3 linked regions of the Pelodiscus sinensis genome follow. The protein of the gene in region 3 purifies or fractionates together with the protein of the main gene of each other region. This does not show direct contact. Links are inferred from orthologs where the notes say so. Each region holds a gene or a part of one and is shown on either strand. Other genes may lie near its edges. The genes, in order: PRKAR2A, CDK5RAP2 and AKAP9.

The links.
Region 1: the proteins of AKAP9 (region 3) and PRKAR2A purify together in Homo sapiens (affinity purification with western blotting; 3 studies listed by BioGRID, with this or other methods). This does not show direct contact. The link is inferred for Pelodiscus sinensis from reciprocal best matches to the Homo sapiens genes AKAP9 and PRKAR2A.
Region 2: the proteins of AKAP9 (region 3) and CDK5RAP2 purify together in Homo sapiens (affinity purification with western blotting; 4 studies listed by BioGRID and IntAct, with this or other methods). This does not show direct contact. The link is inferred for Pelodiscus sinensis from reciprocal best matches to the Homo sapiens genes AKAP9 and CDK5RAP2.

What each region holds. Positions count from the first base shown.
Region 1 is NC_134721.1:250,173-258,201, reverse strand, and holds the start of PRKAR2A (cAMP-dependent protein kinase type II-alpha regulatory subunit), read right to left. Parts: upstream 3,003-8,029; 5' UTR 2,842-3,002; coding exon 2,589-2,841; intron 1-2,588. UniProt on the Homo sapiens protein: Regulatory subunit of the cAMP-dependent protein kinases involved in cAMP signaling in cells. Type II regulatory chains mediate membrane association by binding to anchoring proteins, including the MAP2 kinase.
Region 2 is NC_134732.1:9,786,643-9,794,236, forward strand, and holds the start of CDK5RAP2 (CDK5 regulatory subunit-associated protein 2), read right to left. Parts: upstream 3,075-7,594; 5' UTR 2,749-3,074; coding exon 2,696-2,748; intron 2,041-2,695; coding exon 1,973-2,040; intron 1-1,972. UniProt on the Homo sapiens protein: Potential regulator of CDK5 activity via its interaction with CDK5R1. Negative regulator of centriole disengagement (licensing) which maintains centriole engagement and cohesion. Involved in regulation of mitotic spindle orientation.
Region 3 is NC_134712.1:214,228,732-214,235,915, forward strand, and holds the start of AKAP9 (A-kinase anchor protein 9), read right to left. Parts: upstream 3,061-7,184; 5' UTR 2,885-3,060; coding exon 2,837-2,884; intron 2,794-2,836; exon of another isoform or gene 1-2,793. UniProt on the Homo sapiens protein: Scaffolding protein that assembles several protein kinases and phosphatases on the centrosome and Golgi apparatus. Required to maintain the integrity of the Golgi apparatus. Required for microtubule nucleation at the cis-side of the Golgi apparatus.

The sequences.
Region 1 (8,029 bases), on a different chromosome or scaffold from region 3:
ATATTTGGTATGCAGCTTCATCTTATTCTAACTTCAAGCAAGGTCAGGGTTTGGTTGTGCCAAGAAAATGGGAAGTGCTAGGAATGGGATTGTTTTCCAAAACATGAAAAGAGAGGGCACAGAGAGGAGGGACATGATATTGAGAGTGGCCACTGAAGGCAGCCTGCAAGGGAAAACCATACTGCAGAGACACCACTGGAAGCAGTCACACCACCAAATGACCCACACAGAGACTGGGCTCCACTATGTGGCCTGCCACCAAACTAAGTATATAGCCCCCTTTCCCCTAATCCTCCCCCACCACAGCAATGGGGCAGGGAAGGGTGCAAGAGGAGACAGAACACCCTTGGCAGTCATGGAAGCTGGGAAGGGGAGAAATGGTCTCTCCAGCTAAGGTGGGGGGTGGGGGGGGGGGGAGAAAGAGAGAAAGCCATACCAGATAGGACTTCTAGTAGGAAAATATAAGGCAACAGATTTTAAATGTAAACAGTATTAACTAGTCTATGTCTATTATTCTATTAGTCTAATGTTTGTAAAGTAACAAGTATTATTACTGACAATTAAAATAACTATAAAGGCTTCAATTTATCCTTCACAGATAGATTGGATGCATCCTGTATTATGTGATAACACTTTACAGAGTATACTTTGGAAGAGCAGGTAAAAATTAGAGATGTTAGCATGTATCTATTTACATGATTAACTGATAAGTCTGGGCTCATCAGTTAATCCTTCTGGTTACACACACTCCCCCCCCTTGCTGCCTTTCTATCAGAGGCAGCGGGGGGGAGAGGAAGGAGTGGGACCCAGTGCTCATGGGGAGCCAGCTTTTAAGCCAATTCCATCCACATGCTGGCTCCTGCAGAGCCACCTGCCCCCATTCCTGCCTCCCACGCAACAGAGGAGGAGGGGGCAGGCATGAATCAGCACACATAGGGTACTGGCTTTCAAGCCAGCTCCCTGCGCATATCAACTGCTGTGGAGACAACGTCCCCTCCCCTCATGCCGCTGCCTCTATATCAGAGGCAGCAATGCAGGGGGGAGGGGGCAGCTGGTACATGTGGGGAGTCAGCTTTTAAGCCTTCTCCCATGGAGCCATCTGTCCCTCCTCCTGCACTGCTGCCTCTGATACATGGAAGTGTCAGGGAGGCAGGATCCCATACATGCGTTAAGCCAGAGCTGCCTGTCCCCGTCCCCCCCGCCACTGTGTCAGCAGTTACACTTTTACAAAAATAAACAAACATCCCTAGAAAAAATGTACCTACTTTAGGTCTTTTACATAACTACTGTGATTTCTATTGCTAAGTAGAACAGAGCAGCAGATTCTGTCGGGGGTAAACCCTTAAAAAAATGTTCACTTTTGCCCTAGAGCAGCTCAGGGCAGGAACCAATAAAAGCACACAAGCCTTCCCACCACCACCAGATGCAGAAAGGGAGAAAAAGCATCAGATACCCTAAACGAATTATGATTATTTAACAAACTCAATTGCCCACACACTATTACAACACATACACATCATCATTCCATTATGTACGCTCAACTCAGCACCCAGCACTACCCATCCAACCTCCCACCATACACGCACACAAATGTAAATGGAAAAAAGGGTATTAGACATTTGAAATTTTCTACTTTTAATAAACGGGGTAATAAAGTTAGCAACAGATTTCAATTTTTATAATAGTGTGTAATTTTAAATGAACACCAAAAAACCCATCAAGCACAAAGCTCATATTGTAAAAATGAGGAGCCCAGTAGCATCTTAAAGAGGAACAGATTTGTTTGCAAGTGGGTTTTTTTGCCCGTGAAAGCTTATGCCCAAACAAATCTGTTCGTCTTTAAGATGCCACAGGCCTCCTACTTTTTGCAGATACAGGCTAGCACAACTACCCCTCTGATATTTCAAACTCATACTGAAAGCCAAGGAAAAACAGTTAAAGTTGCAACTCTAACCTTAAATAACCATGTTGTGGTATATATCGTAAAGGCTGAACAAAAGCATGTACTTTTACATATCACATAACTTAGAAATACGGACATTTCAATCCTTAACGGTTCAAGTCAGACACTACAATACCCTTTTGGCAGTTACAGGGTAGCTGCATACATCTGATGATTTCCTCCAGAAGAAGGCTCTCTCTCAGTGGGATAAAGGCCTAACTTTGTACCCCAAACTCCCTTTTCAACTGCACAGCTACTTGCGATGGGCCAGGACACTTCATGCTGTTAAGAAGTTGGACATTTGGGTTCTGGACAACAAAAGGCAAAGAGAGACCGAGAGAAGAGCCCAGAGAAGGCAGCTGAGCGTTACTCGCACGCGCCGTGTCTGTCAAGCTCATGGGGACTGCGCCCTTCTAGCACGGGACATAGCGTGCGGGTTACCGCCGCCCGAGGGCCCCCTGCCCCGGCACCCGAGGGAGGGCAGGGCTGCTCAGGGGCAGAGGGGCGGCGCGCGCGAAGGAGGCGCGAGCGAGGCGCGCGGGCTGCGAAGGCGGCTGAGGGAGAATGACCTTCGGACAGCCCGCGCGGCCCCTCCCGCGGGAACGGAGCCGCCCCCCGCGGGGGCCCGGCCCGGCCCGGCCCTTACGCTCGAAGTCGGAGTCGGAGTCGTCGGAGCCGCGCCCGGGCTCCTCCTCGCCGTTGGACTCGGTCTGCATGGGCTCCCCGTCGAAGTTGACCCCCTTGCGGGGGCCGGCGGCGGCCTCCTGGTCGCGGGCATCCCGCAGGCGGGTGAAGTAGTCGGCGGCGAAGCCCAGCAGGTCGGGCGGCCGGTGCCGCAGCACCTCCACCGTGTAGCCCTGCAGCAGCTCGGTCAGGCCCGCCGGGATCTCGATGCTCATGGTGCCGGGGACTCCCTCCGCGGGGCCGCCTCCCCCGGCTGGCTCCGGCTCCCGCGGGCTCAGGGGCCTCCCTCCTCAGGGCGCTCGCGGGCTCCCGCCGCCGCTGTCACACAAGCCTCTCCGGAGAGAGAGAGAACGGGAGCCACGCGACTGCGCATGCTCTGGTTGGCGGCGCGGGGCGGAGCCCGACGGAGGAGCAGAGCTGCGCATGCGCCGCGGGGGAGCCGCGCCGCCGACGATAGGGGAGAGGGTGAGCGTACGTCACAGTAGGGACACGCGCAGAAGGCGCGTCCTCGGCTCAGAGACGCGCTAAACCTCCTTGCGGGAGAAAAGGAGGGAATTCTGCACATGCGTACTCTGGGTGTTCAATGGGGGGGCGCAGCAAATCAGCATTACGCATGCGCAGTCTTGGAACGCGGGAAGTTGATGTGTGAGAGATGTTGAGGTTCTGTGGTTAGCTCGGGAGCGCCCCCCCCCCCCCCCCCGGCCACCTCAGAGCCGGCGAGCCCCTCGCCTCAGCCGCTACCCTCTTCACAGCCCTGTTCTCCTCACGGCCTGGGCCTGACCGCCCGGCTGCCTCGGGCTCCCTCCTCCCCCCCCCCCGGCTGCCTCGGGCTCCCTCCTCCCCCCCCTCGGCTGCCTCGGGCTCCCTCCTCCCCCCCGCTGCCTCGGGCTCCCCCCCCCCGGCTGCCTCGGGCTCCCCCCTCCCCCCCGCTGCCTCGGGCTCCCCCCCCCCCGGCTGCCTCGGGCTCCCCCCTCCCCCCCGCTGCCTCGGGCTCCCTCCTCCCCCCCCCGGCTGCCTCGGGCTCCCTCCTCCCCCCCCCCCGGCTGCCTCGGGCTCCCTCCTCCCCCCCCCCGGCTGCCTCGGGCTCCCTCCTCCCCCCCCCCCGGCTGCCTCGGGCTCCCTCCTCCCCCCCCCCCGCTGCCTCGGGCTCCCTCCTCCCCCCTCCCAGCTGCCTCGGGAGAGGGGCCCAAGCCTGATCCCTCCCTTACACCCTCTTTTTTGCATCAGGAGAGAGGCTGAGACCTTTTCTCTTTTAAAAGCCAGTTTCCCCCAGCATTGTCTCTGCAGGGGGAGGGGAGGTATAGGCGCAGGGGGAAATGGTGCAAGCGGGGACTGAAGCAGTCTCCGCTCACATCACTTGCTGTGATTCTAGTTTTGAAATGTACAATAACCCCAGCGGGGCTCTTGTATATTCCAATAGCAGAAGCCCCACAGGGTGAGCAAGGCCAGCAGGGAACTGCCCCGCTGCCCTCATCTCCGCATTCTCCCTGTGGGGGTTTCCTTTTGAAATGTACAAGAGCACCAGGGCTCTTGTACATTTCAAAGGTGGAGGTGCCCTTATAGACTAACTGAATTGTTGATAGAAATCCCAATCTAAATTTAATATTCCTACCCCAGACAAAACAGGATGACATGTGGTCATCCTAAATTACCTGTTCCTGGAAACTCCAGATCCAAGATTCATGAACTGTAAAAAGGGTGGACTAAACATTATGAGCACAAAAGGGCTTATTCCTGAGCGGGAGCATCAGAGTTCTTGCGCAAGAAGCCCTGAGTTCATACATTAAAACATCAGTTTACTTGCGCAAGAACACACGGCCAGTGTAGCCAGGCAGCAAGTTTTTGCGCAAGAGCGGCTGCTTTTGCACAAGATCGAGCCAGTGTAGACACAGCCTTTGGGTGGGGTTTGGAAGAAGTGCTCCAGCCAGAGCTCATGTTAGGGCAAGCCTGGGCAAAATACGGCCTGTGGATGCAGCTAGGAGCCACAGGCAGGCTCCTTGCTGGCCTTTCCCCCCCCCCAGGCCACTCAGAAAATGGCTACTGGGCTGTTTCTCTTTCAAAACTGAGCCCAGTGGTGGTGGAAAGGCTTGATGTACTGACCCTGCCCTCAGCTCAATCCCATTGGCCGGTTTCTGGCCAGAAACCAGCCAATGGGAGCTGAGTGTCTGAATAACAGGCAGCCATAAAGCACCATGCCCAGGCCTCTCCGGCTTGTTTTATTCACACATGTACATGGCCCTGCAGCATGTGCAGGGGTGGGGCAGGCAAGGAGGGTACTTCAGAAATGTGCTGGGCTGCTGGCTGGGAGTCACCCAGGTAAGTCTCCAGGCCAAAGCCTGTCTCTGGCACCTTAGACCCTCTTTTCCCCAACCCTTGGCCCCCATATTCTACATACCCAAACCCTCTGTCCCCTTCATGCACCAATATCCCCTACCACATCTGGCACTCCAGATCACAGTTCCCTCATGCCCTAGGTCACAACTCAGACTCCCTTCTGCACCCCAATCCCTTATCCTAGGTCACAACCCAAATCCCTGCACTCCTTCCTGTACCCCAATCCTCTCTCCTAGGTCACAATCCCTTCCTGCCCTCAGTCACATCCCAAAGCCCTGCACCCCAGTTTCCTGCTCTAGGTCACAACTCAACCCTTGCACCCCAGTCCAGTGTCCCAGGTCACAACCGCCTCCTTCACCCAAATTCTCTCCCAGACCCCAAGCCTTCCTGCACCCCAATCCCTTACCCCAAGCTCCTTTCTGCATGCAAACTCCATCCCAGAACCCACACTTTCTCCATTAATATAATGGAAGAGTGCAGCCCTCGACCACCTTCCAAATTCTTGGAGTGCCCCCCCATCAAATATTTTTGCACACCTCTGTGTTAGTGAGATCTCTACTAGGCTTATTAGCATGCATGTAGTGTGTTTTACTGATTTTAATGCTTTCTCTGTAGTGCTTTAACCTTAAGAATAAAATAGGTTTGCATAGAAATAACTGTGTGCTAACATAACTGCAGATAATTGACCTGTTATCAGCCTGAAGGGAATGTAAGCTTCTGTGCTTGGTTAGTCTGCCTCTGTTGGGAATAAGACTGTGAAAGCAGAGAACTGTGCACCTTGGAAATACACTGGTCAGGAGGGAATAAGATCAGGTCTCCATCCAAGTAAGGCAGTGGCTGGGGAGTTGGCAGCCTGAGAAGTATGACCTTGCTGGACTACTGACAGGAACTATAGGTGCAATTATACTGAACTGTAACAGTGTGTTTGCCAGGCAGTGCTACTATCTGATCAGTGTCAAGGTGAGGATCAAAAGCTTTAGTGGCACAATAAGATTAAACATTCAGACAGACTGTTTTAAGGATCTAACTAGAGCAGGGGTGGGCAATAATTTTCACAGGGGAGCCACTTACTTAATTTTGGTACTAGTCACAGGCTGGCTCACCCCATTCTCCCCTCCCCAAATGGGACAGAGACCGATTGGGAGGGTGGGGACTGGGGACTAGCAGTTGTCTGGGGCTGCAGGCTTTGAAGTAAAAACAGAACAAAAGGCTCGCATCTCCCGACCCCAACACTACCACGCTACCCAGCAGGTACCTGCATTGCTGCCACTATTTAAAGGGCTTGAGGCTCCAGCCCTGCCAGGGTAGTGCCATGATGGGGAGTCCTTGAAATAGCAGCAGCAACCTAGGCGGCTCCCAGGCAAAGGGGCTGCGAGCCCTTTAAATAGCCCTTTAAGGGGCTTGTGGCTCTTGGCCCGACTGCTACCACATTGCCTGGCAGCTGCCTGGGGTTCCTGCAGCTATAAAAAGACTTGCAGCTCTGGATCCAGCTGCCTGAGCCACCACCTGGAAATTTGGTGTCACAAGAAGCAGTATATAAATAAAAATCAGTTAGATATGGTCCACGGGCCAGATCTGGTCCCCAGGCCTCATCTTGTTTAGCCCTGAGCTAGAGATTGAGATGGTGATGCTCATTCTGCAAGAAGACTATGTCCTTTTGGCATTTACCCTGATGATGTATAGTTTATTTCATCTACTATATACATTCATGCATGTATGTATGAGAGAGTTTGTCCATCCATCCATTTGTTCAAGAACTCCTCCTAAACGGTAAGAGCTAGGACCATGAAATTTAGTATGCAGCTTCCTCTTATTATAACTTAAAGCAAAGAAAGGATTTGGTTGTGAGACATTGTTTTTAGATGACAAATCTGAGGAATTGTCCTGGATTGAGGTGTCATTAGAGGAGGTTTTGGAACGAATTGATAAACGTAACAGTAACAAGTTACTGAGACTAGATGACATGCACCCAAGAGTTCTGAAAGAACTCAAATGTGAAATTGCAGAACTATTAACTGTAGTTTGTAACCTATCCTTTAAATCAGCTTCTGTACCTAATGACTGGAAGATAGCTAATGTAAAGTTAATATGTAAAAAGGGCTCTAGAGGAGTCCTGGCAATTACAGACTGGTAAGTCTAACGTCAGTACCACACAAATTAGTTGGAACTATAGTAAAGAATAAAATTGTCAGACACATAGATTAATAATTTGTTGAGGGAAAGTCAACATGATTTCTGTAACAGGAAATCATGCCTTTCTGATCTGCTAGAGTTCTCTGAGGGGGTCAACAAACATGTGGACAAGGGGGATCCAGTGGATATAGTAGACTTAGATTTCCAGAAAGCCTTTGACAAGGTCCCTCACCAAGGGCTCTTAAGTCAAGTAAGTTATCATGGAATAAGGGGGAAGGTCCTTTCATGGATGGATAACTGGTTAAAAGACAGGAAACAAAGGGTAGGAATAAATGGTAAGATTTCCAAGTGGAGAGATGTAACTAGTGGGGTCCTCCAAGGGTCTGTCCTGGGACCAAACCTATTCAACTTATTTATAAATTATCTAGAGAAAGGGGTAAACAGTGAGGGGGCAAAATTTGCAGATGATAACAAACTGCTCAAGATAGTTAAGACCAAAGCAGACTGTGAAGAGCTTCAAAAAGACCTCACCAAACTAAGGGTATATCTAGACTATATATCTCTGCCGACAGAGGCATGTAAATTAAACTACTTGACATAGTCAATGAAGCGGGGATTTAAATATCCCCCGCTTCATTAAAATAAAAATGGCCGCCGCATTGTGCTGGCTCAGCTGATTGTCGGCACAGCACGGCAGTCAAGACACAGATCGGTCAACAGGGAACGCCTTTGTCGACCGCTTCCTTATGCCTCGTGAAATGAGGTTTACAGGAACAGTCGACAAAAGCGTTCCCTGTCAGCCTATCCGCGTCTTGACTGCTGTGCTGTGCCGACGATCAGCTGAGCTGGCACAGCACAGTGGCCATTTTTATTTTAATGAAGCGGGGGGTATTTAAATCCCCGCTTCATTGACTATGTCAAGTAGTCTAATTTACA
Region 2 (7,594 bases), on a different chromosome or scaffold from region 3:
TAGACCCGGGGTGGTCTCTTTCATTTAAAAAAGATGTGGCTCCTGCTGCTTCTGAGCCACGCGCCCTGACTATTCAGGCCGGCAGCTCTGCGCATGGCGTCCCAGGGCTTGCTCACGGGCAGCCACTCAGCACACAGAGTCCCAGCGCCTGGAGGGAGAAGTGCGTGGCGGCGGATCCAGGACCTAGGCATTAGGTTAGAGCCGGGGGGGGGGGGGGGGGAGAAAGAGGTGCCTGGCTCTGGGTCAGGGGGATTGGGTTACAGTGGGGGGGGGGGGAGGTGCCTGGCTCTGGGGGAAAGGAGAGGGATTGGGTTAGAGCTGGGGGGGCGGTGCTTGGCTCTAGGAGAGGGGAGGAGGATTGGTTTAGAGCGGGGAGGGGGCTGGCTCTGGAGGAGAAGGAAGGCATTGGGTTAGAGCTGGGGGATGGGAATGCCTGGCTCTGGGGAGCATTGGGTTAGAGCAGGGGAGGGAAGGGGGAACTGGGAATGCCTGGCCCTGGGGAGGGAGGGGCATTGTGGGGGGGGGGGGGCACGAAGCACCTTAAGCTCAAAGTCTCCGTGGATGCAGAATAAGGCAGCCAACACAGATGTCCTATTTAAATTCTAGGGCAAAAAAAGAATCAGCATGTACCTGATTTACAATGTTTCTTTAAAGAATATTCAAAGGCTATTGTTTGCCAGGCTGAAGCAATTATTCTGAGATGTTTTTGAACCTCTCATATTTGCAGTCTGGGACAGGCACTTCAAATTGTGCTAAATTACTTCTCAGTGCAGTTTGATTTAAAAAAAAAAAATCACAGGACATAATACGGCAGTAGTGTTAAATTTCAAATACATAGTGGGAATGCTTTTTTGTGAGAGAGAATTTACTGTATTTTTAAAGGTTTTTTTTTATTTGATGTGTTTTCCTTGTCAAGTCCTCTGAAGATCTATGAATTTAAATTACTAGAGACTTTTGTATTGGTTTTTGTCTGAAATGTCTTGTAATGTTGTTTTTATTACTACATGTTGTGTACTATATCGATCTTTCTCTATATAAATATATAAAAATAAATATACAATACGTGGCTCTTTGTATTCTATTCACCGCTATTTTGGCTCTTTGTCTCTAAGTGGTTGGCCACCCCTGCCCTAGACAATACTCAACACCCATGGTTCGGCAAATTCTCTGCTTCGGAACAGGTCAAAGCTCTAGGATGCTGGACTAAAGCGGTTCAACCTGTACCACTAGCTTCAGTTTATACGGTTTGTTGGTTTTCTTAAAGGGACATTATACTTATAAAAATTATATGTTGCAAATAAAGAAGTTTATTTGCCTGTTACTAACATCTATTAAAAGTGAACTGTTAAGTGTGAAGGCTAGGATTATAACAGGGTTTAAAAGAGAACTAGATAAATTCATGGAGGTTAAGTCCATTAATGGCTATTAGCCGGGATGGGTAAGGAATGGTGTCCCTAGCCTCTGTTTGTCAGAGGGTGGAGATGGATGTCAAGAGAGAGATTGCTTGAGCATTACCTGTTCAGTTCACTCCCTCTGGAGCACCTGGCATTGGCCACTGTCAGCAGACAGGGTACTGGGCTGGATGGACCTTTGGTCTCACCCAGTAAGGCCATTCTTATGAACTGAACTTACTTTTCGCTATTTATGATCTTTATTAACTTTTGACACTTCTACCAGCTGGGTAATTTATTCAGTTTCACTATGTAGTTATTTTCACTTTCAGATTCCCAGTGCTGCAATATTTGCCTAGCAAATACTGTGGGTTAATCGTTTGAAACAATAAGTTTTTAACACAGGAACATTACAGAAATGTGTTTATTAGACTACAGTGCTGTAAGAACAAGTTTGGCTGTTCTCTAGACAAGCTCTTGCAAATAAGATGTTTATCTTCTAACTTTGCACTCTCCTGAAATGAACATTTCAAGCGTTCATTTGACCACTTCTTGTGTGCCATCACATTAGCTGCCCTTACCTCCATTACCTCCTACGCCAATACAAGGTTCTTCTCTGGAGACATCTGGCAGTCTGGAAATACTGACGCTAAGAGTGAGACACAGGAGGCATTTCAGTGATGGAAAGTTTAGAAGCCCCACAAAAAGTCCCTCCTTCCTGAGTACTTCCAGTGTCTCTCCCCAACACACAATACACGGCAAACACCAAAACGTGTTTTGTTAATCTATAAAGTGCTACCAGACCATTTGTTGTTTTTTAAATTTATCCTGTACAGACTAACTCCGCTAACCCCTGAAGCTACCGAAAGGGAGGGAAGGGATCCAGGTAACAGCTTCGCACCCCTTCCCCAATATTAGAAAAGATACTAAGAGCCAAACAGCCACATGGGAGGTGGGGGTATGAACCCCAAGCTGCAGTACTCCTGCCCCTGTGTGTGAGGCCCAAGCCACAGCCAAACTCTGGGGGCTTCAATCACCAGCAGACAGCTCCAGCAAGAGGTGACCAGACCCGAGTGTGTGGGGAGGGGGAATCCCGAGCGCCCCCGGTCTCGCCGGGGGGAAAGGGGTACTCGGATTTCCACACATGCACAGTCGGTCTGGCTTGGAGGAACGCGTGGGGGTGATGCCGAGCGCCACTCCGCTCCGCAGGCCAGACCCCAGTGGGGGGGGGATCTCAAACAGCCTCGCCCACGCCGGACGCCCTAACGGTCCCGGCTGCCTGCCCCGTCCCACCCCGCTCCTACCTGCCGCTAAACTCCACGGGCAGGGTGAGGTCCTCCCCCGGCAGCGAGTCCATGGCGGTGCGACCCCCGCAGGGACCCTCCGGCGGCGGTGGCGGCTCTGGTTGTTATTGTCCGAGTTTGGCGGCTTCGTTGGAATTCAAACGGCCGCAACCGCTTCCGCCATCTTGTATATCCGACTGTGAAGCCACTTAGGCCGCTCTGCAATGGTACGTGCTGAGGGCACGATAGAAAGCTAATGGGGCGCCGCCATCTTTGCTGAGGGCAAATGCTGCATACGCCAGCTTGACTAAGGGCAAACTTTTGCGGCAACCAAGGCCAGCAGCTTTCACCTCTAAGAACAAAGAAGGTAGCGAATGTGGGCAGTAGCCATCTTGAGTGAGGGCATGAAAACGGGCAGCGTGCGCAGCCGCCATATTTAATACAAGAGCGAAGGAGGGTGTGACCAGGCGCCATCTTTAGTCAGGGCAGTTGCGCTGCGAGGGATACTGGTTAGCATCCCGCAGTGTGACACACGCTCTGAGTCCTCTAGTCTCAGTATGATGCGGTCAGTTCCGGGGTGAGAGCAGCAGCCCACGAGTGCTTCTTCCCTGCTGCCTCCGTCAAGGGAGGGAACAGGGGCTGGTGCTGGGGAGAGCAGACTTAAACAACGGTTCCCCGCAGCACCCTGTCTGCAGTGCCTCCTGCCGCCCCACTGCTGCCTCTCAGAGCCAGCTGGGGAAAGGTAGGAGAGGCTGCTCTGGTAGCAGCCCCGGTCCGCGGGGTGGCTTGCCGCAGCCAGCCCTGGCCACTGTGAACAGGGGCTGCTGAACTCGGATCAAGCAGTCCCGGCTCGCACCGGTCTGGGAGCATTGCGACTCTGCAGTGTAAGTGGGGCGCTCAGCACATTTAAAATGCAGAGGTGCAGCAGTCCTAGAGCGAGCCTCCTCTTATCGACTAATCGTGTGGTCCAGCCAGGCTGGGCAGCGCATGCGCTGTACGCCCCAGGGGCAGGCCCCAGGTTGCGCGCCAGCGGCCATGACTGGCCTGCGCATGCGCCGAGCACCCCGGGGGCAGGCCCACGCTCCACAGGCCGGGCCTGCTATAGATACATACGTTTATCAGCTCTAAATGGACCAGTGTGGTGCAGACTAATCTCTCATATAACACATAGGACTTCCCTCAATTAGATCCTCTTTGGTTGTTTTTCTAAAAGATTTGCACTAATTTAATGTTGTTTTTAAAGAGCCTGTCAGGACAGTTCCCCATTCTGGCACTCTGAGTGCAGAAGGTGGGGGCCAGCGAAGACTTTAAATATACCTTGCCTCTGCAGGCTCTGGTTACAAAAACTCCCCCAGAGTCACAGATTCACTGAGTTTGGGAGGTAGCTCCCACCATCAAGTGACTTATCCCTAAAACCAGGGGGGAACACTTGAATTCTCCCACATGGGGCATCCCAAGCTCTTTCACCCCAAAAGAGCTTGAAAAAAGAAAAGAGAAAAACAAGCTGCAGTCTCTGGTAGCTGACCACCCAGTCTCAGGCAAGCAAATACACACACACAGCCCCTTGTTACTTTCCAGGACAAAAGAATCAAATCATCACCTTAAAAAAGTGATTTTTATTAGCACAACAAAGGCTAACGCACACTTGGTTGCTAGATGTTACAGTGCAACCAAGGAAAACAAAATGGAAAATCTCTGGGAACAATTCTTAGATGGTAAATGGGGAAGGGGAGGCATAGATTCAAACAGAGTAGTTCAAACCAAACCACAAAATAAAGAAAAATACCCTGATCATAACTAGATTCACTTTTTCTCATGATCTCTCTTGGTTCAGTCCACTTCCATGCCCCAAATTCCTTGGAGGCATGGTAGTCCTCCCTGGATTTAAATCATTCTGTGTCTCTCTAATCCTGGTTTAACTCTCCCACACAAAGAAAGCAGGCAAGTTATCGTATACAATTCAGATTTCATTACTGTATGCCCATTGGTTCTTCTCACTCCCTGCCAACACCCTTGCTAGCTACCTGAGTTTAACCCTTTAGTCACCGGGTGCTAGCCAGCACTCCTCTTATCCATCACAGAGCCAGTGATGGAGAATCCACCACACTCCCAGGTAAATTATTCCGGTCAATTACCTAGCAGACAATCCAGGTAAAACATGTTTTCAGGCACTGTATCATGATATACATTTGTCTGCTAGGTTGAAGAACATGTTATGAAAATTTTGTTCGCCATGTAAGTATTTATATAAACTGATCAAGCTAGGCCTTAGCTTTTTCTTTGTTAAACTCTGTAGATTAAGCTCCTTGAGCCTATCACTATAAGGTGGTTTCTAATCCTTTAATCATTCTTATGGTTCTTGTGTGATGGATAGACAGATACTTTGTGTAACATACTTAATAAGCAAGTATAAAGCACAGTGCTATAGTTCCAGCTAAAAGACTCTCTATATCCATACATGGGATGGTAGACTAACTATCAGTATGGCAAAAAATCATGTGACCGTGTATAGTTACGACAATCCCATGAAGGAATTATAGCAATAGTTTCAATGCTCTTTGTTACTTTCATAGCTACATGGATCCAAACAGCAAGAATCCTATCTTTCATAATAATTCAACCTGAAAATACTGTAAAATAACTTTTCTAAAATTGTTTTTCTTGCCCAGTAAAGAGATGAAAGATAGTCAGAAAATACTTCAGAAGAACTGGTGTTTTGCCAAAATGATTTACTTAACTATGCATTGCATCATGAGCCTGTGTTTTGTAGCAGTAGTAGTGTTCCCTTTTCTCATTGTGTGTATGTGATTTCTATTATTGCTACTTTCTTGTACCTCGATAGCTACCGGAATACAATTGAAAGGCAGAAGAGCCAATTTTCAATATGATCTGCTCCAGAAATGTGATGTATTTCTTCAACTGTATTATTTTATCTTTTAAAAAAAAAAAAAAATGAAAGTGATCATCCACATGGAATTCTGTATTTCAACATTATTTTTACATTTAATCATAGAAGCAGATTTATATTGGCTTATATAAGCTATTGTCTCAAAATTGTTTTTTTCTAACTATATTTAATATTTCCAATTTAGGAGGTGTCGCATCTCCCTGTGCAAATACAATCAATTTATTCCTTTGGTGAGCACAGCAGCATGCTGACTTTGCTTTAGAACAGCACATGCCGAGGGCCACAACTTAAGTGTGGTTGCATATACATGCAAATATATATGCAAATAGCTTATTTCACACAATGCCCTGGCACTCCTGGCACCTCCTCTCTGGGAGCTAGAAATGCCGACACTCTGAACCCACCTGTTGCAGCCAGCCCATCCACTTGCATCTTTCATTGCTCACCCACCTGGGAGATGCCTCGCCATTGAAGAGCGTATTCCCAGTGAAGGCCATGTTCAAAGGATCCCACCCGCGGGCCATGCATTGAGCCCCGCGTAAACCCAAACTGTACCACGGCCTACAAAGAAACGGGCCATAGGCCATGTGTTGAGTAGCCCTGCTTTAGAACATTAAACTGACGCACGTACACACAAATTGTACAATAACAGAAATGATCTCACATTCCCACAGTCAGTGATATGGTCCAGATCACCATAGTATGTGAGTGCCCCATAATCAATATAATTTTCCTCACAACACCTATGAGGTAGGGAGGTGCTATTATTAGAGATATTTAATGTTATATAGGAAGCCAAAGGCAGAATTGGGAACTGAGGCTGTGTCTAGACTACATGGCTCCATCGACAGAGCCATGTAAATTAGGGTTGTAGGCAAAGGGAAATGAAGCGGCAATTTAAATAATCGCCGCTTCATTTAAATTTAAATGGCTGCCACGCTGAACCGACAAACAGCTGATCAGCTGTTTGTCGGCTCAGCGCACTAGTCTGGATGCTCCGCGGTCGACATCAAAGCCCTTTGTCGACCACTCCGTTATTCCTTGTGGGATGAGGTTTACCGCGGCGGTAAATTTAAATCGCCACTTCATTTCCCTTTGCCCAATAAACAAATCTACATGGCTCCGTCGATGGAGCCATGTAGTGTAGACATACCCTGAATGTGTAAATCTCCCAAGTCCCTGACTACCATTCTAATTCCAAAACCATCCTTTCTCTCTACTTTGTCCTGTCTTTAAGCTAGCAGTTTTCAAACTATGGGTCAGGACTTCAAAGTGAGTCTGTTGCTGAGGTTCAAAGCCAAATTCTCATCAGTGGGGGCCAAAGACAAAGCTCAGTGGCTTCAGCCCTCGATGGCTTTGCCCTCTTCCCACCCCTGCCCAGGGCAATGTGCTTCAGCTTGGACTTTGACCTAGCCCACAGTGGTGGGGCTTGGGCAAGCTTAGACTCCCCGCTCCTTTAGGGTTGTGCAATAATTTTTGTTGTCACAAGGGGGTTGCAGTGCAATGAAGTTTGAGAATGCCTATTCTAAGCAACATATCCATTAGTAGTTTTTTATATTTTGTTACTGTAGCTGGAGATTTCCAACAAGTTCAAAGCTGTATTCCCTGTAATGGCATCTGATCTTGCAAACATATACATATATATGTTTTTAACTTCTCTCACATAAGTGTGCCACCTGAAGTCAGCAGAATTATTGACATATGTAACTTTAAGCACTCATGTAATTATTTGCATATTGGGAGCCATAAGAAAGGGGCCTAATCCTGAAGTCATTTACTGATATGAGTAAATTTACCCTGCTCACTTCAACAGGATTATCTGAATTAATAAATTTACGTAAGTAAGTGTTGGCAGGATCAGATCCTACAATTGCTCTTATACTCTACTGCTGCAGACAAAAGAAAGCATTTCAATAAAAAGATGTTAATGTAACCCTTTTGCCACGTAGTGTCAGCTGCAGCTATGGCTGGGTTAAATATCTGGGGTTCCCTCTCAGAGGGGTAGCCGTGTA
Region 3 (7,184 bases):
ATTTCCCTCACCTCTTCGTGTCCTAGAGCCCCTGGGGGAGCAGGCTTCAGAACTGGGAGGGAAAAGGAGGGAAAGTTGGTCTTGAAGAGATGGGGCAGGAGAGCCTGTCCATGTACGCATCTTGGAAAGCCTAGATGCAGTCCATTACAGATGTCAGGGAGGACAAGCAGTCTTCTGGTGCTTCAGTTATAGTTCCCTGCATGCTCTCCTTTCCTGACACTCCACTCGCATCTCCTCCAGTAACATATTTCCCCACTCTTTGTGCTGGCAATGCCAGACAATTTACTGCTGGCTTGGTGTGTAAAGGTGCCCACCGTGTAGTATTGAATAAGGCAGGCCTCCCCAGAAACCTTGTGAGAAGGATCAAAGAGTACTTCTATGAGAGTTTCATGGAGATTTGCAAGGAGGATTCCATTGTGCTGTCTCCAAGACACATTAACAAGCTGTTCCGGGCTCTGTTCCAGGCTCTTGCATTGCGTGGCGCACTCTATGCCTACACATCACACTCAACTGCATGAATCTACTTGTAGGAAGGAAAAAATTGTGAACTCACCAGAAGTGCCTTTCCTGGGATCAGTACCCAACTGAGGCACCATGAGAGGAAGGGATTGTCTCCAAGGTTATAAAAAGTTCTTGGCTATTGCCACTTGCCTGCTGACCCTCCTCCTCCACAATGCCACCCTGATTAGTGTCTTGGGAGGATTCCACAGTCTGGCTTGGGAAGCTAGACTTATGATCAAATGCAACAGCTTGTAGAAGTGGCATGTTTACAGCAATGCTCCAGACTATCCATTTGCCTCCTTTGTCTTTTTGGTAGGATTGCTTCAACTCCTTTATTTTCACACGACACTGCTGGGCATCCCTGGTGTATACTTTCTCCTCATTGGACTTTGTGATCCTCACATATATATCTGCATTTCGTTTACTGGTTTACAGCTTCATGAGAACAGATTCCTCTTCCTACATGCTGATGAGGTCCAAGATCTCCTTCACACTTCATGCTGGTGCTCGTCTGAGCCCCTGGGAATAGGAGCTCCTGGAACTAGAACTCATGGAAGTCATGGCCAGGTATACTGCCTGCTCTGAGATGTGCTCGCCATGCTGTCCACACAGGAAATAAATTCAAAGTTTCCTGGGGATTCTCCTGTTCACCTGGAAAGCAGTCTAGCCACAAGTTCTGGCCAGTGTGGTCACAGTGAGGCACTGTGGGATGTCTACCAGAAGCCAAGAACATTGATTTTTGCAACTCTGTGTCTACTGTACCGTAAAGTTGATCGTGCAAGGTTGAATTTAGCGTTATTCCTCATGAAAAGCAGGAGTATCAAAATAGACTTTAGCATCCCTTAAAGTTGATGGAATGGGCTTGGTAGTATGAACTCACTGTTTAAAAAAAAATCAGCCTTATGCAGCTAAATTCGACCTAAATGCCCAGTGTAAGCCAGTTCTGAGAGGTAGTTTCATTATTGTAAGATAAAGAGTTTTACAGAACTTCACACTCACAGAAGCATCTATGAAACTTTAGACATTTATCACTTAAAGTAGTTGTGTGTTCAGAGCATTTAAACAGTGTAATTCACCTACAGTACTGAAGGCTGATGAGCAAATATATAGCAAAAAGGTTACTATACAATTACACTGCAACCTTCATGTCTGAAGACAGTCATAAGTAACAAGAAAAGCAACTAAAAATCCTCTAACACACCTCAGCACTTAGTTTACAACTATTTATATAGCTACAGCATGTAAAATTCAGAGGAATGTTTAAGGGATGTAAGATATCAAGTCTTTAAGTAAGCACCTACAGAAGGGCTCCTTTAGTTTTCACCCATAGAGGACTAGAAGGTGGTGTAGGTTACATTAACCCTTCAAGTGAAGTCAAGGAAAGGACAGAACTAAACAAAGCCACAGGAAACAATCAAAGGGAGAAGAAAGGAGAGGCAGAGAAAAGATACTTCCCCCGCCCGGCAAGGGGATGGGCATCCAGAGGTGATGAAAGGGTGAAAGATAAGAGGCCCCATCCTGCCCTAAGCCTCTCTTGAACCCCCAACCCTCACTCTTGCATTGCCTTCTCTCACTCCTTCCTGCACGACCTCCCGCCACATCCCCAAGGCTCTGCCCTGAGTCCTGCACATTCTACACCACCATCTGATTATGGGAACAATTTGGGAAATAAGCATTAGACACACTGCATTGTAATGTTATTTTCTAGTATTAGACACAACATGATGTTCTTAAAATGAAAAAAAGTTATTTCCATGAATTTGTACATTGCTTTAAAATCCCAAGTAGCAAATTGTGCATCAGGTTAACTGTATGTTGTAAACTTCGTTTCCCTCATCCCCAAATACCTTTTTGGGGAACTGAAGAAGTATTTCACCCCGACCACTGAAGCTATACAGATTCACAAACGACACCAACACACGTACAGAGTTTCACTCGGGAGAAATACCATTGGCTTTCAATGTGTAACTGCTGGCACTTGTGGCACTTGCAAGACATGCGCTGTCCACTCACAGCTGTCACAAGCCAATCACACAGGGAGAGTAAAAGAGAACCTGCTCTGGAGCCCACTGCTATCAAACATAGCCCAGCCCCCGCAAATACCCCCAGGCTGCCCGCGCGCTCGTTAGCAGGGAAACACACTAGATACAGGTGGGAATAAAACTGGTGAAAGAGTCACCCCTGCTCCTCGGGGTGTGCTCCCTCCAGGCTACTTGGGAGACTGGCTTCGCCCAGGGGCCCCTCCCCTCCCCCACAGCTCCGTCCCGCCCCTCAGCGCCCCTACTCCCCACCGCGCCCCTCTCCCTCCCCCGGCCGCCACAGCCCCCGCGCCTACCTTGGCTTTCCCGGCCTCCAGTTTCTTCCGCCGCTCCTCGTCCTCCATGGCCCCTGCGCAGAGAACAGAGCGTCACCGGCCCGCCCCGCTACAGCGCCAGGAGCCTCCGTGGCGGACCCACCGGCGCCGCCATCTTCAGCTCCACGTAACCACGCGCGGCCGGGGAAAGTGACGTCCGCGTCGCCGCCGCCGCCTCCCCGCCCAGCCCCGCTGCTCCTGGCAGGTGCGGCCGAGAGCCCCGCCCCCCTTCGGGCCGCCCTGATAACGGGAGCCGTGGCAGGACAGGGGGGCGTGACGCTCCTGACCGCCCCCTTCGAGACTCCTGCCCTCCCAGGGACCCCCCATGCCCCGCCCCCCATCTGCAGGCATCCACCCCCGAGACGCCTGCCCCCTCCCCAGGCACTGACAGGCCGGGACCCCGACCCTCGCGCCCACTGACGGGGGCCGATCTCCCCCCTCTCCTCTAAGAGACACGGACACCTTCCCCTCCCCACTCACTCGCCTGGGAGAGGAATGCGAACCCGCTCCCTATGACACACTGCCCTTCCCCCAACACACTGGCGCTGGGGGATGCCTATTGTCATTTTAAAAATGTAAAGTACATTTTTTATTCGGACTAAGTGTTTGCAAACTGAATGCTGCTACAGTATTTATTTTTGCAATATTGTTTTTCCAAATGTTACCTTTAAAAAGAGGAACGTTTCCTTGTTACCTATTCCTGAAGTTGATTCAATGATGGGAACATGTTACATTGCAAATTGTCTATCCCCCCCGCCCGCCTTCTATATGCCATGTGCGGTGTTTGTCCCGGAAATCCTAACAATCAAGTCGGCAAGGTATTTGTGCATTATGTACCATGCAAAGGTGATGCCTATATTTGTAAGAGTAGGCTCCATGTCTGCTGTTCATATCATGTATATTTCATGCATCAGCCGTTTTAATAGGTTTTGTTTGGTAAAGAATCACTAGGGGGCTGTTCTGTTGGCTCCTATGCTCACCAACCCCCTCTCTCTGGGAGTAGGCAGCCCTGACTCCCTCTGCCACAGTTGGCTTCCCAGTTGTGTGAGCCTCAGCTGGCCTGGGGGCAGAAAGGAGGCAGCCTGTGTGAGCCGGGCTGGCTCTTGGTTTGGAGACCAGGCTCAGCATGGGGTGGTGCTGACCACGGGGTGGGGGACCGGTTGCTTTTGGCTGAGGGAGGGGGAAGGGAAACACATGTGTGCAGATCTGGAAAGCTAGATCCTGCGTGGAGACTCTGGTCTTCCCTCCCCCCCATGCTGCAGGAAGCCAGTGCTGGTGCTCCAGTCTTGCAGGGGGCTGAGCTGGTGAGTGAGGGGGCTGGGTGGAGGGGTAGAAGCAAGGAAGCCACCAGCAGGGTGAGCGGGGAGCTTGCCACATCCTGCCGCTGTGGACCATGTTGTCCACAGGACTCCTTCCGCTTCAGCTCTGCCTACCCCCTGCCCCCAGCCTGTTGACGCTGACATGATCATGTCATGTTGTTGTACCATAGGACATTATATATATATAAATAAAGAGAGATGATTTTATTGGTTATGGTAATGAAACATTAGGGCACATCAGTACCTGGTCACTCAAGATTAAGCAGTATGCTGTGATTAGTTAATACAGGTTGTACCCTCCTGGTCTTGCACCTCCAGGACCTGACTGGTCACAAACCAGGGAATTTACCAGATGAGAGAGGTCAATGCCAGCCTTTCTACCCAGGCCCGGCCAAAGAATTTGCTGATCCTAAGGTGGCATGCAGTGGTTGGCTGTGCTGCGCAACAGGGCAGCTGCCAGCCAGGGCAGCAAGCAAGCGTCCGGACACTGGGTAACATGAGGCCCTGAAGGTGCCCCACTTCCAGCACAATCCCATTGGCTGGTTTCTGGCCAAAAACCAACCAATGGGAACTGCTTGTTGGAATATTGGGCAGCCAAGAAGAACCACGACCCCTCTCCGCTGCTCTGTTATTCATGAAGCACATGGCCAAGCAAGCAGGCAGGCTGGTTGGGAAATGTTTTAAGCTCTGCAAGCAGGCAGGCTGGTTTGCGTGCTGCCTGGTAAGTCTTCTGGCCACAGCACAAGACGCGGATCGGTCGACAAGGGAAGCCTTTGTTGACTGCTGCCATATGCCTCGTGAAACGTGGTTTACAGGAGCAGTCAACAAAGGCTTCCCATTGTCGACCGATCCGCGTCTTGACTCGCACGCTGTATCGACAATCAGTTGAGCCAGCACAACACGGTGGCCATTTTTATTTTAATGAACCCAGGGATATTTAAATCCCCACTTAATTGACTATATCGGGTAGACTATTTTACATGCCTCTGTCGGCAGAGGCATGTAATCTAGACGTACCCTAATAGTAGACATTTTTTTTTAATCAACCATGCAAACAAAGTTTCACTGACTTCTGTGGGAACTGCATTGAAGTAAAAATGGATTTATTGTTCATAGTACTCCTCCTTATTGCACAGGTGTCTGGAGTGATTGTTTACAGCATAGTTAAACATGCAGAACTGAAATATTTAATATTTTTAAAAGGGATCAGCAAGATATAAGTGGAATGCCTTGTTGAAAGAGGTTTTAGCTATTACTTTGAATCAATATAAGAGTTTCATGTGTGCTGTATTCTTAAATAGTTCCCTTACAATTTAAGAATCAATAAAATCTTTTTCGTTGATAGGAACATCAGTACACTCTGCATCCTCTCTTTGTACTCTTAAGCAATAGACTCTAATTAGATGCTACTGCATACAATAGAGAATTTCCTGAAGTGATAATTGATACTCAGAGACAGAGACAATACACAGCAGTTGCTTTTGAAGATGTAGTTGTGCAAATCAGTTGCATTATTTGATTTTATAGGATATGTTCTGAGAAAACTACTGAAGCCAATAACATTCTTGTAAATAATATAGAAATCAGACATTGTCTGGGATATGATTAAATAAAAAAGCCGTTCTGAATGACATTGTTTATAGAAATAGTTTGACACATATGTGTATGAGAGAGAGAGAGAGACATCTTGTCCATGTTTTTTTTTCCTCTACAGAAAAATATGTATATTTTAGGAATAAGATTTGTTTGGTAAATGTGATTTTCAATTCTAAAATAAATTATAGAATGATTTCTCCTGCAAAAATAATTCCTTAAGTACTGAATATGTGTTTTGATAAATTAAATTAAAATATAGAAAATAGTGTTCTTCCTCATGCAGTAAAATAGGAGCAGTTTCAACATTAGATATTTTTAAACATCCTGTTTGGTGATAAATTCTATCCTACTGCCAATTCTGGGTACTGAACATTCTTTTAAAATTATATATTTTATTTACAATTCAGAAATGTAAACAAGCTTTTATGAAAACACATGTACAAATACAAGTTGATAAGGTAGGAGTGGGCAATAATTTTTGACGGGGGGCCACTCCACGATTTTGGAAAGTGGCCAAGGGATGCACTCTTCCATGATATTAATGAAGGAGATGCGGGGTGTGGGATGGAGGTTAGGTGCAGAGGGGAGCTTGGGGTAAGGAATTGGGTGCAGGAGGGAGACTGGAGTTTGGGAGGGACTTTGCGTGAAGGAGGCGGTTGTGACCTAGGGCGGGGACTGGAGTGCAGAGGTTTGGGATGTGACCTAGGGCAGAAGGGACAAAAAACAGGACTACGTAGCACTTTAAAGACTAACAAGATGGTTTATTTAAAGACTAACAAGATGGACCCACGAAAGCTCATCACCTAATAAACCATCTTGTTAGACTTTAAAGTGCTACATAGTCCTGTTTTTGTTTCAGCTAGACCAGACTAACACGGCTACATTTCTATTAGGTTAGAAGGGGATTGTGATCTGGGACAGGAGATTGGGGTGCCAGATCTGGGAGGAGGTATAGGTGCAAGAGGGGGACAGAGGGTTTGGGTATGTTGAGTGGGGAAGTAGGGAGGGACAGGGGTGCAAGAGGCAGGCTGTGGCCAGAGGACTTACCAGCCAGCACGCAAACCAGCCTGCTTGCTTACAGAGCTTAAAACATTTCCCAACCAGCCTGCCTGCTTCCCTGGCCATGTGATTCATGAATAACAGAGCAACGGAGAGGGGGTGTGGTTCTTCTTGGCTGCCTGTTATTCCAACAAGCAGCTCCCATTGGTTGGTTGTTGGCCAGAAACCAGCAAATGGGATTGTGCTGGGAGCGAGGTGGCTCCTGGACCTTCCCTCTTCCCTTCTAGTTTTAAAACAGAGACAAAATCCGGCAGCCTTGTTTCTGCAAGGCGCATGGGCCTGTGGGGCAAGCAGGAGAGCCTGCCTGGGGGTCCCTGCTGCCTCCACAGGCTGGATCCGGTGGCTTGGTGGGCCAG